2 linked regions of the Notamacropus eugenii genome follow. The protein of the gene in region 2 purifies or fractionates together with the protein of the main gene of each other region. This does not show direct contact. Links are inferred from orthologs where the notes say so. Each region holds a gene or a part of one and is shown on either strand. Other genes may lie near its edges.

Evidence for each region. Proteins that work in one complex are often made in the same cells at the same time.
Region 1: the proteins of EP300 (region 2) and ATF2 purify together in Homo sapiens (affinity purification with mass spectrometry; 3 studies listed by BioGRID and IntAct, with this or other methods). This does not show direct contact. The link is inferred for Notamacropus eugenii from reciprocal best matches to the Homo sapiens genes EP300 and ATF2.

The regions. Positions count from the first base shown.
Region 1 is NC_092876.1:237,515,155-237,522,447, forward strand, and holds the start of ATF2 (cyclic AMP-dependent transcription factor ATF-2), read right to left. Parts: upstream 3,129-7,293; 5' UTR 2,967-3,128; intron 1-2,966. UniProt on the Homo sapiens protein: Transcriptional activator which regulates the transcription of various genes, including those involved in anti-apoptosis, cell growth, and DNA damage response.
Region 2 is NC_092874.1:300,164,813-300,172,018, reverse strand, and holds the start of EP300 (histone acetyltransferase p300), read right to left. Parts: upstream 3,039-7,206; 5' UTR 2,862-3,038; coding exon 2,768-2,861; intron 1-2,767. UniProt on the Homo sapiens protein: Functions as a histone acetyltransferase and regulates transcription via chromatin remodeling. Acetylates all four core histones in nucleosomes. Histone acetylation gives an epigenetic tag for transcriptional activation.

The sequences.
Region 1 (7,293 bases), on a different chromosome or scaffold from region 2:
TTTCATAATTTGCAATTATGTTTTTCTAGCTCGTATTAAAGTGTATCAAAATACTATTTAAAATAATGCTATTTTGAAAGATTATTTCTCTGGAAAACACTAACAACTTTTTGGGTAATTATGATCTTCCTCCAAGATGATCAATTAAATAATGAATAAAAAAATCATTAGATCTGCATAAGTATGTGAGGCTTAAAGAGAATATAATATTACTACCTTCAAAAGGTTTTTCCCCTACATAAGTGACTTTGATAAAGAAAACAGACTTCTATCTGATATCTGCACTATTTCTTTCATTGCTTAGATGGCAGGCAGTGCAGATATATGAGGTAAATGTAAAAACCTCATTTGGATTCAAAAAATAAACTTTGCAAGTTCAAGATGAGGAAAACATAGTTATCTGAAACGGAAACATGTCATCTGAAAGAGACCTTGCAGCTGCAAGTTCAGTTTGAGTGAAGAGAGTGATATGGGTGACAGAAAAGGTGATATGATACTAACCTGTGTTTACTGAAGCATCATAATGGTTATAGTTCAACTATACTGTGCCTTGGTAAGACCACATCTGGAGTACTGTGTTTAATTTTGGGTGCTGCATTTTATAAAAGAATGTTTATAAGCTCAAGAACATCTAGAGGACTAACTAGGATTGTGAAGGGTTTCAAGATCATGCCACATGTGATTCAGTTGAAGGAAGTGGGAAGATTTAACTTGGAGACGACCTAGGGAGATACACGACTACCATCTTCAAGTATCTGAAAAGCTGTCATGTGGAAAACGGATTGGCCTTGTTCTTTTATGGCTAGAACAAAACTAGAAGCAAGGGCTGGAAGTTAGAGGGTAGATTTAGGCTTCATATAAGAAAAAAACTTTCCTAATGAGAGCGCTCCAAGAAGGAAATGGGCTACCTGAGAGAATGTTACCAAGAAGTCATCAGACAAAAAGAACGGATGGTCACTTGCTGAAGATGGTGGAGAGAGGATTTTTGTTCCAGTATTGGACACAGTAGACAGGTTCTAAGGACCCTTCCAAATCAGATTCTATGCAACTGTCTAGGAAGTATTTTGAGAACATTATCTTGTACTTCCTGTCTCTTCAAAGTAGTGTATAAATAGTAGCAATAGGATGCTTTTTCTTAAAAGAAATATCACTGTGTATCCTTCCCTCATAAAACATTTTTTGAGTATCTACTATGGGTCAGTCATTATGCTAGGTACTAGAAATATAAAGAAGACAGTAATATCCAAATAATATAAGATTACATTTTTAAAACTAGAATGGTTAACAATATAAAACTTGGGAAATGCTTATACTTTACAATTCATCAGTCAGTAGTTTAGGTCAATACTTTAAAACTCTTAAATAATTCACTTTTAGTTTTCTAGGATGAAATAATCAATAAACATTTATTAAGTCCTACTACATGTCAAGTGTTGGTGATAAAAAGACAAAAAACACAACAGTCCTCAAGGAGCTTACATTCTATTGGGGAAAATAACACACACAGGATCAAAAATAATTGGGAAGGCAGGGGAGAAGCACCAGCAGATCAGTAAGAACTTCTGTGACTCAATTTTTAAATAAAAAAAAATGGCTCATTTTACATACTTCTTAAGAATGCTCAAAGTTATGTATTGGTGTTCATAATGGGTTCTTGGGTTCAATGTGGCCAATATAACTTGATAATCTAATCCAACGACCTGAATTACATAGTCCTTAATCCCTGATTCCATAAATATCTAGACCTCTAAAATAAACTTTTACTAACAAGCACCCATTTTTACAGTTTTAATAAAACAGATGAGAATGATTGGGTGTTTTTTTCCTAATGAGAACTCGCCTAAAACTCCCGTTAGTAACAATTGTTTAACAAATATGCTCTAATATAAGAAACAAAATGTTCCAAGGCTGAACATGGATAGCTTTTGAAATACTCCTTGGACGCGTTCATTTAATTATCTCCCCTACATGAAAGTTAACAAATTTTGGAGCCTATGTTCCTTCAACTACAATAAAAGGCTTGGCTTCCATAAGATATGGGTAATCCCTGTGACTCCATTGTATTTACAGAGTAGCTGTGCTGTTGGCTCCCACATCCCCTTCAGAGGAGGATTTTACACCAGACCTCAAGAGCACACAAGTAGGCACGCACAAAAGGGGCTCCCACCTCCGCCCTTTCCCTAGTCCCCTCCCAGGAAAAGACCACAGTCATTAATAAGGTAGCCCCCACAGGTGCCCTGGGGTGTGAAGGATAAAGAAAAGCTAAGGAAAAAATCCCAGATCATCCCCTGACAAAGACTTGGCTGTACACCAGCGGAGGTCACCGATGGGAACACACCTGCATTCACCTACGGAGGGGAGGGAAAAGAAAAAAGAGCAGGCCGGCCCTCCCAGAAGCCATGACTACTAGCGGTGGTGCGGTTCGCAGTGAGGATGCCCACCACCCAGGTCAGGGAGGTGAGCGGGCCCAGGTGCCCCTCCTGTTCCATGCCGCCGCCGCCGCCTCCAGCGCCCCAACGCACCAGCCGGATCTAGGGGGGCAGGAGAGGACTGCTCCTGCTCCAGGCCGGAGAGGAAGGGAACGTGGAAGGGGGGGGTCACGCCCACCTTCACAGCGGAGGGCACAGCCCCCCAGGAGCCTCCCCCAAAGCCGGGAGAGCCCGGAGCGGGGGAGAGCAGATGCCGTTATTCTGGGCAGAGGAAAGCGCGCGAGCCGGGAGGAGCCGGAACCCGGCCAGCCACCCACCTAACGGTCCGGTCCTCGAAAGGCCGCGGGGCAGGCGCCACCCAGGCCGCAGCGGGGGCGGAACTGCCATCACAGACCGAGGGAACAGGGACCCGGGCCGAGAAGGAGTGGATGGTGGGGGGTGGGGACTGTAGCGAGCGACGTCGCCATGTTAGCGCCTTCTTCCCTCGGTGCTCCCCGCCTGCTCCCGTCCGACACCCCGATCCCCACCATCACTCACCTTCCCCGCTCCCCTGGCTCGCGCGCCACCCCCGAATACGGGGGCCGTGACCACGAGCTCCGGCACCCACAGCTGTTTACAAACTACCCCCGGAGGAAAGGGCTGAACCGCACTTTAAAGGCCACGGGCTCCCACAGGCTTCCGTCCGATCTCGCGAGATCTTACTGACAACACTTCCCTCCGCCCCTTTCTCGCGCCTTCCCTCCTACATTTCCCCTCCCACGTCCCCTTCCCCTCCCTACAAAAACGTCCCCTCCCCTTCCTGCCGCAGGACCAACTGCCGGTCCCGGCTGGCTAGACTAAGAGGGTGGGGCGGCAAAAGAGTTGGAGTGGGATTAAAGGAAGAGGAGGAGAATGGGGTGGAGGCGGAGAACAAGAGACGGCTTACATCCTATGATTGGTCGAGGACCGTGAAGGGGCGGGAAGAAGGCGGGAAGAGGAAGGAAGTGGAGAGTTCTCTCAGGTTAGAAGCAGTGCGGCGGGCCGTGATTGGCCGGAAGGGAGTACAGTACGCGAGCGTTGGAATTCGGTAGTGCAGCGCGCCGAGGTCCTCCGGGGGGGAGGAGGAATAGGTGAGGCTGTGAAGTGTGGCTCCCATGCCCAGCCACGGGGCAGGGCTTGGCAGTTAGTAGGTGCTGCCCTCTTCTCAAGTGACTCCTCGGGCGCCTGAAGACCTGGGAGAGAAACGCGACACCCTCCTCCTCCTCTTGCTGCTCCCCTCCCCCGGCGCCACCCTCAGTCCTGGGGCGCATGCGCAGTCCCTCTCGCCTACCTGAAGGGGCTCTGTCCGCTGCTGCCACATCAGTCAGAGGCGGAGCTCAGGTGGTGGAGTGGGTATTTTTGTTTGCCTTTTTTAAGTGCCTACACACCTAAAGAAAAAAAAGACGCAGGCTGAGAGGTGGTTTTGAGAGCGGACAGCCAGAGTAATCGATCGCTTCGGTTCGCTTCCGACTAGAATGAAAGCTGCCTGAGAATTTGGACTCTATTTCCAAGTAAATGTTAGTCACGTGGGACCCAAGTTGAAAGGGATTTCGCCCCAACAGCCTCCACTTTCACCTGGTTGTTAGAGAAGGTTCCCTCCTGGTCACCCCCGATCGCCATATAGGAAGGAAGGGACTCGTTCTTCCCTTCAGGACCAGAATGTGAAGCTTACCTTACCACTGCCGAGGTTGCAGGTGGAAATGACCTTCCTAGGCTACACTCATCCATCACTTTTTTTCTCATTAATAGAGCTCAAATAAGGAGTCAGGCTTGGGGTTCTGGAGTCCGAGAATCTCGAGTTACTTGTTATTTGTTGTCTGTGTAACCTTGTGAAAGTTATTTCCCGTCCCTGGCCCTCAATTTCTTCATCTATAAAAATGAAAGGACTTAGATGAGATCACCTTTAAAGTCCCGTACAGCCCGAATTCTGTGATGGCTGTAAATGGCTGCACCTTCAGCTTTGATGGGTATTTACAAAATGAAGAAAATCACTTTTTTAAATTCTGAAAAATTATGCCTGTACATTGCTCAAACATAATTGTGTTTGCATTTATTAGTAATCCCACCAAAGAATCACCCACAAATTTCATTTTTGATTTGCACTTTCATGGGATTTAGAATTGAAAGAATCTTTAAGTGATCGCCCAATCCAAATTCTTCCTTTTGCAGATGAAGAACTGAGACCCAAAGAGATTTTAAAAACTTGCCTGATTTCACACAGAGAAGAGCTAGATTCAAATATAGATCTTCTAACTCCAAATCTGCGCTTTTCACAGTTTAGCAGTCATGAAGTATATACAATTTGCAAGTCACCAGGCCCTGGTCATACAAAAAGAAAAATGAGACTCCATACTTCGAGAAGATTGCCTTCTCCTGGAAGGTTAAAAGGTGAAGATGTGTAATATCTGCTAATTTAAGGACAAAAAAAGCATAGCATTCTAAGTTTTCTTTCAAAATTATGGAAAGGAAATTGAGATTATGAAATATTGCCCACAATAATTTGATTCATGCTTAGAAAACAATAATCATCTCACTGTATTTCCTCTTGGTATGTATAACAGTATTTTTTCTAGTTATACTTAAATAAAGATCCACAATACATTTCTCTAATGGCAAATTCAGAAGTGAACATTGGGGACTTCAAATATAACTTATCAGTTCAGCAAAGTTCAGTTATTAATTAAAGCCTTTTCAAACAATAGTTGAATCACTTGAAAAAGTTATAAAAAATTATATGTAGAAATAATACCAAAATGAGCATTATATTGTGACTATCACATTACAGACATCACTTATAATTCCAATAAAAAGGGGAACATCTGTCACCTTATAGATGGCTTTGTAAAGAATATTGATTTTATCAAACTCACGTGGAAGACCACAGGGCCAGCTTTTCATGTGAGCTTCCCTGAAATGTGCTTTATAGCCCTACTATTAAATTACAGGTGTGCTCCTAAAGATCATGAAAAGCACATGTACCTGGACTTCTTAATAATCAATCCCAAATTCTCTATACAATATATGGATTTCAAGGGTGTTCAGTAATATTAGTTAATCAAGACTATTTGTCCAATGGATTATTTAATGAAATAAGTTAGTCATTGGCATTGGCCTGAAAAGTATTTTTGCCCCCCTAGTGAAACTTAAGAATCTTTCATTAACAGCACTTTCTATAAGAGCAAATTTATTTCAGTATTCTCTAATCAGTTTTTTCTTCTTCCTGTTCACATTTTAAACAACTTTTAATGGCATGGGGGAAAAAAAACAAACCTAGACTGGGAGTCAGGAGATTTGGGTCTTAGCTCTGGTTTAACCAACGTAATTGATTTTAAACAAATCAAACCCAGAATATTTATCTGTAAAATAAGGGAGGGTGAGGAGTAAGACCAATTTCTAAGTTCTCAACCATAGCTACAATTCTATTATTCTGTTTTAAAGCAGATTAAATTATTAATATTTAATGTGATATGCCCTCCCAAAGTATATATATAAATATACAAAGTAAATTGATGCACAGATATTCAGATTATATTTCAAAGGTAAAGAATGTGCACTTCAGTAATGGTATCTGGCATTAAAAATGAGGTTGTAATGGCGCTGGACCTTTTAACAGATTTCTGGCATGCATACATGTACATGAGCCAACTCAATCCTCTTTTAAAACTAATTTTCAATACACTAAAGACAAGAAGGATGCCAGATTATTAATGCTTGAACATTAAAAATTAAAATGATGGTAACTTCCCAAATTTCATAGGAAACATCAAAGCATATCATTAAAATGAACTGTTTAAAAAACATCATCACATCCACAGTCCTTATCTATAGGAGCTTAAAAGTATTCACTGTAAAAATATTAATCTACAAAATGCAGAGTAAATTCATCATAAACAAGTCTGGAATGAATCATTAAAATAGTACCTCTTTACCCTCTCCAACACTTTATATAAGACAAAGCCAGCTGTGATCAGGACAAGAAAATTTCACAAACTCTTGTAGTTCAGCAGAGGAAATAACATAAGTGTATCTTACTTTACCAGTAGCTATGTTCCTGAAAACTTTCATGTGCATTTAATTTTTGCAAATCAATCATTTTCTCATTGACATACATTAAAGTTTTGAGGTGCTTTATCTTCATTTCTGATTAATCTTCATTTGGCAGTGACTCCTAATATTTTGGCTTTAAAATTCTCTTGCTCTCCTGACTCACTCAGCCTCCCTGCCAAGTAGTTAATGATTTACTTAAATGCATGAGGGGAACTTTCTATTTAAAGGAACTCTTCCATGAATTCTTTCAGAAAGAGAATGCTTCCATAACATGAATAATCATCTCATGATGGCTCTTTTATAAATTAATTTTTTTTTAATATCAGGTTTTCTAAAAATGAGGAAAATTACGGCAGAGCAGAGGAATGATAGAAAATAAACATGAACAGTCTGTGAGGGGGAAAGGCCCAAGTAGCAGCCAGTTATGTTGAAGGCACTGGTATCAGAGTTCTTTTTCTGTGGCCTCTTCAAATGCTTTTTCTTTCAATATCTTTTCTCAGTTCATCAGTCAATGATTTTATGCTTCCATATCCTCTAATCTCAATAGTGCCTACATTTCTTCTCATTCGCTTCCTTCTATCTGTAGTAAACATCTTCAAGAATCCTATTTTCCAGGAAGATAATAAATTTTGGAGAAGATGTGGGAGAGTTGGAACACTAATTCATTGTTGGTGGAGCTGTGAGCTGATCCAACCATTCTGGAGAGCAATTTTGAACTATACCCAAAGTAATATTGACCCAGCAATATTACTTCTGGGACTCTACCCCAAAGAGATCATAGAAATGGGAAAGGGTCCCA
Region 2 (7,206 bases):
AATTATCAAAAAAGAAAAAATTTCCTGGCATTAGGCTCCACTCAAATCCATCTGCAATGCCACTGGCAATTATGTCTCCAAAGCAATTCTCAGCACAGTGAACAGTTTTAGTTTGTAAATTATCACCAACACAGGTGACTCATTTCTTCTAAAGTTGAAATATAGAATTTGAAGTTAGAAAAAGGCCAAAGCTAAAAAAAGACGTTGGTTGCCAAAGTATTGAAAACTACCTGTAAGTTGGAAAACACTGGATATTAAAATGCAAAAGGATTTATTTTATGAATTATGTTATGTCAAACTTACAAGCTTCCTTTCTTAAAAGACAAAATTTTAGCAAAGTTAAAATATTAGCAAAGACCTCTTACTCCTCAAGAGGGTGGCTGGGGGAGGTGAGAAACACATCTTAAGGTCAAAACTAGAGAAAGACGAAGCAAGTGGAGCAAAATGAAAACCTCATATGATGAGCAAAGATATTTATTCAAATATTGAGTCAACAAAATTTATAAAAATAACTCGTGAACACATTTAGAATTCTCTCAATCATCCAAAGGGATCAAAAGTGGCAATATAGTTTGCATGTCAAAAATAGACAGGGGGAAATTAGATAATATCCAGTCTATAGACTAAAATCCTGAAAAAAAGAGGCCAGGTACTTACTTCACTCCCACATTACAAGAGGGAGAACTCCAAAGTTCTGTACTCTCAGCACTCCAAGGCTAAGCTTGCCAGTCAAAATTAGCCAACAAAAAAAAATTCAGAAGGAAACCATTTGTTGGACCTTTCTAAACCAGGGATCACTATGAGCAAGTTTCTAAAATCTTTTACACCATAACTAAAATTGAATAAGGAAATCACTTAAAAAGTTATTTAGTGAAGTTAGATCGAGACAGACAATTCAACAGATGAAAGTTACGTCTTTAGTGAGCTCCTGAAAGTCAACTGAAACATTCAGGTAGCCACTATTAAGGATGCCAATTACTGTGTAAAATAAGAAAATTTCAAGTAGTAAGAAGTGAATCAAAGTTAAAGCACCCCCACTCCCCCAGGATAAGTGGCTTGGCACAGAGTAGGCACCTGAATAAACCATTTCTATTCATAACTAGAATTAGCTTATTGGAGATTAGCATTCTAACCTGCAAAAATTAAGAACTTGGATTCTTGTGAATACATATTTTTTAGAGAAATTATTTACCTAAAATTCTTTCTCATCTGTAAAATGTATGAAGAAACCAAAATATCTTCCCAGGAGGTCTGTGCTCACCAACATACCCAAATTTCAAAGTAAATGATTTGTAAATCAGGCCCTATTATTAACAAAGGCACATCTACATAGTGATATCCACATGTATTCTAGGGTTCATACATGCTCCACTGTTTTTTAAATGAACTTGGTAGATCCGCAATTCAAGAATCAAATTTGGAATGCCTTTCAAGAATGGAAAAATACATGTTTAAGAACAGCAGTGTACCTCCTTTATAATCCCCTCCTCCTTTTGAATACCATCGGAGAGAAGGTTCTTCAGATGCAACGAACCCAGTCTTAACCTTTAAAACCAATGCCCAATATCAAAGTTCTCCTACACTCCTATTAACCCCATCTCAAGCATTTGTCAAATTCCCATTCTCCCACTGTAAAATGGTGTCTATATCCCAAAAGGCTAGGTAAAATTCTCTCCAAACTTGAGGATTTTAAAGTCATTTAGCAAAATAAACGCCCATCCTTCCATCTTGGCGGACACGATGCACTGTGTCCATCTATTCCCATCGAGCTGTTTCAGATGTTCCCAAACTAGCGCCTGATCGAGACCGACCCTTCACGGCGGGAGCAACAAGGTCTCCCTTACTGTCAGATGGCCAGCCATTTTTCCTCTTCATTTTCCTGGCAGCTCCAACTACACAACAAGGAACAAGGAGACCGGTGGCCATCAGGGTGGGAGACGGCAAGAGGGTCTCCGAATGTCTCTATCGACACACAAACCACGCCGAGCCCAAAACAGAGTGAAACACCGAGAACTGCGAATGCTAAAAACCTGAACTAGGCATCTTGAACCGAGTCGAAGCATCCAAAAAATCTAAACCACTCCTTGCCAACTAAGTTCCAGTGCAACCAGTTCGTGGTTTCTTGGATCCTGGGAAACCCGCAGCTTCGCCTTCAACTTCCAGCCTGCCTTTCGGGGCCCCCGCTCCCTAAATCTGTACGTCGCTCCCCAAACCCAAAAAAGCCGATAGAAGACAGTCTAGAGCCAGCAGGTCCACCCGCCCCCCCGAAAAAAGCCAAACTAACCCTTGTCCTCGCTCTTCCTCAACCTGCTGAGCCTAAAGGAGCTTCAGACATTTTGGTCTGAGCAAGCGAAGCCACGGGAGATGCAGAGCAAGCTCGGCCCGTGCATACTCCATATTGATTCCGAACGCCAGTGGCAAAAAACCCGAACCGAGGATTACGGGGCAAGGGGAAGGCGAAGACGCCCCGCACGTCCAGCCTCGGAGACTCAAGGTCCACAGCGAAAATACTCAAGGAGGCAGGGACCATTTCAGCCCAGATCCAGGAAAGAAGGGGAAGGGAGGAAAAAGTAGGAAGTGGGGAGGAAAACCAGCCGTGCGGGCGCTGGGGGTGGGGGGGCGAGGGAGACTCAGGGCCCGGAAGGCGACGGGCTCCCGCAGCCCGGCCAGGAGACGCAGCTTCCCGGGCCATTGGGGGCCCACCCCCCCAACCCCCCCACCTCCCCACCCCGGCAGGGGCCGCGCACCTGGGGCCGACCGGACTGACCTGTGCCATCGCTGGCGGCCACAGAGAGGGCCGGGGACGCGAGCTTGGGCCGCTTGGGGGCGGGCGGCCCGGGCTCCACCACGTTCTCGGCCATGGCTGCGGGCTGCGGGCCGCGGGCTCCGCTGGGCTGGGCTCGGCTCCGCTCCGCTCGGCGCTCGCTCGCTCTCTGGCTCTCGCTCGCTCGCTCGCTCGCTCGCTCCGGCTCCGGCGGGCACACTCACGCACACTCACACTGGCTCCCACGCACGCTCACGCTCACGCACGCTCCCCCCCTAGTGGCGGGGCCGGCGCGGCTCCCGGCCGCTCGTCGGGGCGCTGGCGGGGCTGGGGCCTGCGGGGCGCCATGGGCCGCGGCCTCGTCGCCGTCTTCATCGCCGGCCCGGGGGCTCGTCGCCGGGGGTCGGGTCGGGCCGGGCCGCCGCCTCACATCGTGCTGCCGCTGCCGCCGCTGCTGCTGCCTCTCCGGCGGCGGCGGCGGCTCGGGCCGGGCCGCGCCGCGGGGCCTCCTCCGCCCGCCTCCGCCTCCTCCTCGGCCTGGGCCTCGCCTCCGCCTCCTCCGGGGCCGGGCCGCGCACCCAAACAAAATGGCGGCTGTTGTTCGTCCGCGGCGCGGCGCTCGGCTGCGCGGCTCCGGCTGCGCTGCGCGGCGCCCGCTCGGCTCGGCCCGGGCCCCGCCTCGCCTCGGCCGCGCTCGGCTCGGCTCGGCTCGGCTCGGCCGCCTCGGCTCGGCTGCGCTCGGCTGCGCTCGCTTCGGCTGCGCTCCGCTCTTCTCCGTCCGCTCCGCTCGGCCTAGTCCTCCCTCTTCCTCCTCCTCTTCCTCCTCCCCCAGCCCTCCTCCTCCGCCTCCGCCTCCTCCTGCTCCTCCTGCTCCCAGGCGAGCGCCGGCGGCGGCGGCGGCGGCGGCGGCGGCGGCGGCGGCGGCAGCAGCAGCAGCAGCAGCAGCGGCGGCGGCAGCGGCGGCGGCGGCCGGGGCAGCAGCAGCAGTAGCGACGGCGGGGGCCGGAAATGAGCCAAGGGGGAGGGGGGCAGGGGGCGGGGCCGGAGGCGGACGGACGGACGGCGGCGGGGGGAGGGAACCCGAGGAGAAGGGGCGGGGCCTGCCCCCCCTCGGATAGGCTCGCACAATGGGCACCGAGAAGGCCGCAGGAGGCGGGGCACTGGCCGAGCCCGGGACCGCCCCCTCCTCGCCTTCCCCCCGCCCGCCCGTCGACAACGCGCAGGGGGCTTCCGCAAACTCCCCAAGCGAGCGTCATTCTTAAAGGGGAGGAGCGGAAGGGGGGGGGGGGTAAGGAGGAATTTAAAGTCGGAGGGTAAGGACGGCGCGGGAGTTGCTGGCGCTGGCCTCCGCTGGGAGAGAGGAGAGGAAGGTGCTACGCCCTGAAATGAGCCCAGGCACTGCGCAGGGGGTTGCCTCCTAATGCGCCCCTGTCCGTCCTCCACCCCCTCCCACCTAGCAGACCCCTATTCCTGGCTCCTGCCGCCCCCACCCCCAGGCCTGATTAATAAAGAAAGAATGACATGTAATTAATCGGAAGCGCCCGCCCGCCCCCCGCAGGCCACTCCGGCCAACCCCGCCCTGGTCCGGCAGGTGTTGCCCCTAGGAAAAGCCGAGACTCGAGCCAGTGCGCCAGCCTCGGGGCCGAGGTGGGCACGGAGGGCCGCAGCACTTTGGGAGGGTTACTGGTAAATAGAGCTGGAAGAGATCGCGCCGACTGACTGCCTCCGTGCCGCTCCTTTTACAGAGCAGGAAACTGAGGCACGGGCAGGGGAGCGGTTTGTGATAGCCCAAAGCCCCGCTGGTAGTACGGAACCTGGATCCGCTGCAGCCGGAGCCTAATGCACTTTCCTCCCCCTCCCCCAGACCCACCCCTGTTTTTCCATTTGACGTGGATTATCTGAGACTCTTAACTTGCCATCCGTGATCACAGCACTTCAGTTACACTCCTCTATGTTTTATTTTATTCACTGAATGACATGACTCGGAGAAGGGACATAAACAGCATGAAGAACCCTTGGTTTTGACACCCTTCCTTGGATGGAGGGAGCGGCAGGGGGCCGAAGGAACAAGCATTTATTAGAGCCTACTATGTGCCATGCGCTGTTCTAATACTTTACAAATAGAATCTTTGTAAGTATGGACTGGGATCCAGGCAGAGGACCTAAGCTGAAGCTGTTACTGTTTGAGAGAGCTTGGCAAGTCATCATCCCCTTGGTACAAACGAGAGTCAGAGGACAAGAAATCAAAGCCTTCCCCTGGCACTTAATACTTATATGACCCCTGCGCATATCTCCTCCAGTCTCACAAAAACCCAAACTTGAGGGTGTTGGACTAGGTGGTTTTGGAAGGTCCCTCCAGCTTTCTATGATCCCTGTTTCCTGTTCTACAAAATGGAGGTTAAAGAGAAGATAGTGGGCTTCCCCTCCTCCCTTGGTTTTAGGTCTTTAATCAAAGTCGGTATGACCACCTGTCAGGTGTGTGATAGAGGGAGGGGATTCGATTCAGAGATTTGACCAAGAGGGCCCCTGGAGACCCTTCTGCCTCTGATTCTTTGCAATCACTAGGCTGAGAGGACCTCCTGCCTCCAAAGTATGGAATCCTAGGATTGTCCACATGGCCTCCGACAATGAAAAGAGCCTGGAACTTAGATTCTGGATAAACCAAAGTTTAAATTTTGTCCCTGTCATCTCTTAGTTGTGTACTCATGAGCAAATTGCTCTTTGTCTCAGTCTCCTCCTCTGTAAAATGTCTAAAATAAAACTTTAAAGTGCCTGTGTTTGTAACCCCATTGATTAGCACATACTGAGCACAGGATAAATGTTTTTCATTCATACCTGCATTCATACCTGCTTCACTAGGTGCTCAGGAGGTTCAAATGATATAATGGATATAAATTGATATAATGGACATAAATTCAGTATGCAGAGAAAATAGAAATCTCAGACTATGTATTTTACAGCTGCTGGTTGGGGCCTTCTCTAAGAAGAACATTTTCTTGCCTCCTTTAATAACATTTCCTGGCTTTCTTTAAGCCCCACCTCAGTTCCCAGTTCTTCAGGAAGCTTTCCCCAACCCCTCTTCATTCCAATGCCTTCCCTCTCTTAATTATTTCCTATTTATCTTGTATATAGTTTGTACATATTTGCTTGTTGTCTTCCCCACCCACTCACCTCCTGAGAACTAAGTGTTGGTCCTGGAACATGTTGTTCAGTTGTTTCAGTCCTATCAGACTCTTCCTGACCCCATTTGGGGTTTTCCTGGCAAGAGATACTGGAGTGGTTTGCCATTTCCTTCTCCAGCTCAATTTTACAGATGAGGAAACTGAGGCAAACAGAGTGAAATGTCTTGCCCAGAGTCACACAGCTAGTTAAGTGTCTGAGACCTGATTTGAACTCAGGGAAGTTTGAACTTCCTGACATCAGGCCTGGCGCTCTAGCCACTGTATCAGCTAGCTGCCCTGGTAACTGCCCTGACTGACTAGCACTTAGCAATCACTTAATAAATTCTTGCTGAATGATCTATTCAGGAAGCTAAGGCCTTGAAGTAGGAGAGGATTTGGCCAAGATCACATAGCTATTGAGAAAGCATTGGGATTAGAACCCAGTTCCTCTGATCCAAATCCGAGGCTCTTTCTATTACACAAGTTCTTTTCCTGCAAAGGGAAGAAAATAGTAATGACTAGGATATAGAGCACCTACTACGTACCAGGCAGTGTGCTCAGTGCCTTCCAGTTCTCTCATACGATCCTCACAACAACCTGGTGAGGGAGGTGCTATTTTGTCCCCAGTCTGCAGCTGAAAAAACTGAGTGACTTGCCCAGGGTCATTGGGCCAGTAAGTGTCCCTTCCAACTCCAGGCCCCACTCCCTCCACATATCTCCCCTAGGGAAGGAGCAGGTAGACAGTGGTAAGAAGGAAAAGCAAGGAATTTGTTTCACTGAGATGACATCAGAACAGTGGTTAAAGAAAAAAAAAGTCCTCATTTCTAACCCTTCCCCCTGGATTTACTGCTCTGCTCCCCTGGGAGTTTCAGGACTCCAGAGAAGCCTGACATTTCTAAACTTTGGGCCATAAGATCATAAAATTTAGGAGAAGACCATCAGGCCCAACTCCCTCATTTTACAGAGGAGGAAACTGAGGCCCACAAAGGGGCATTGACTTGCCCCAAGGTCGCCCCCCTGGTAAGTTTTAAAACAGCAATTCAGGGGCAGCTAGGTGGTACAGTGGATAGAGCACCAGGCCTGGAATCAGGAGTACCTGAGTTCAAATGTGGCCTCAAACACTGACTGTATGACCCTGTACAAGTCACTTGACCCTGATTGTCTCATTTAAAAAAAATAAACAGTAATTGAGTCCAACCACAAAGCCAAGTTGCTTACCATTTACCAAGTTGCTTTTCTGTCCCTGCTCTTGCTCTGTACAAAGCTGCTTCTTTCCATTCA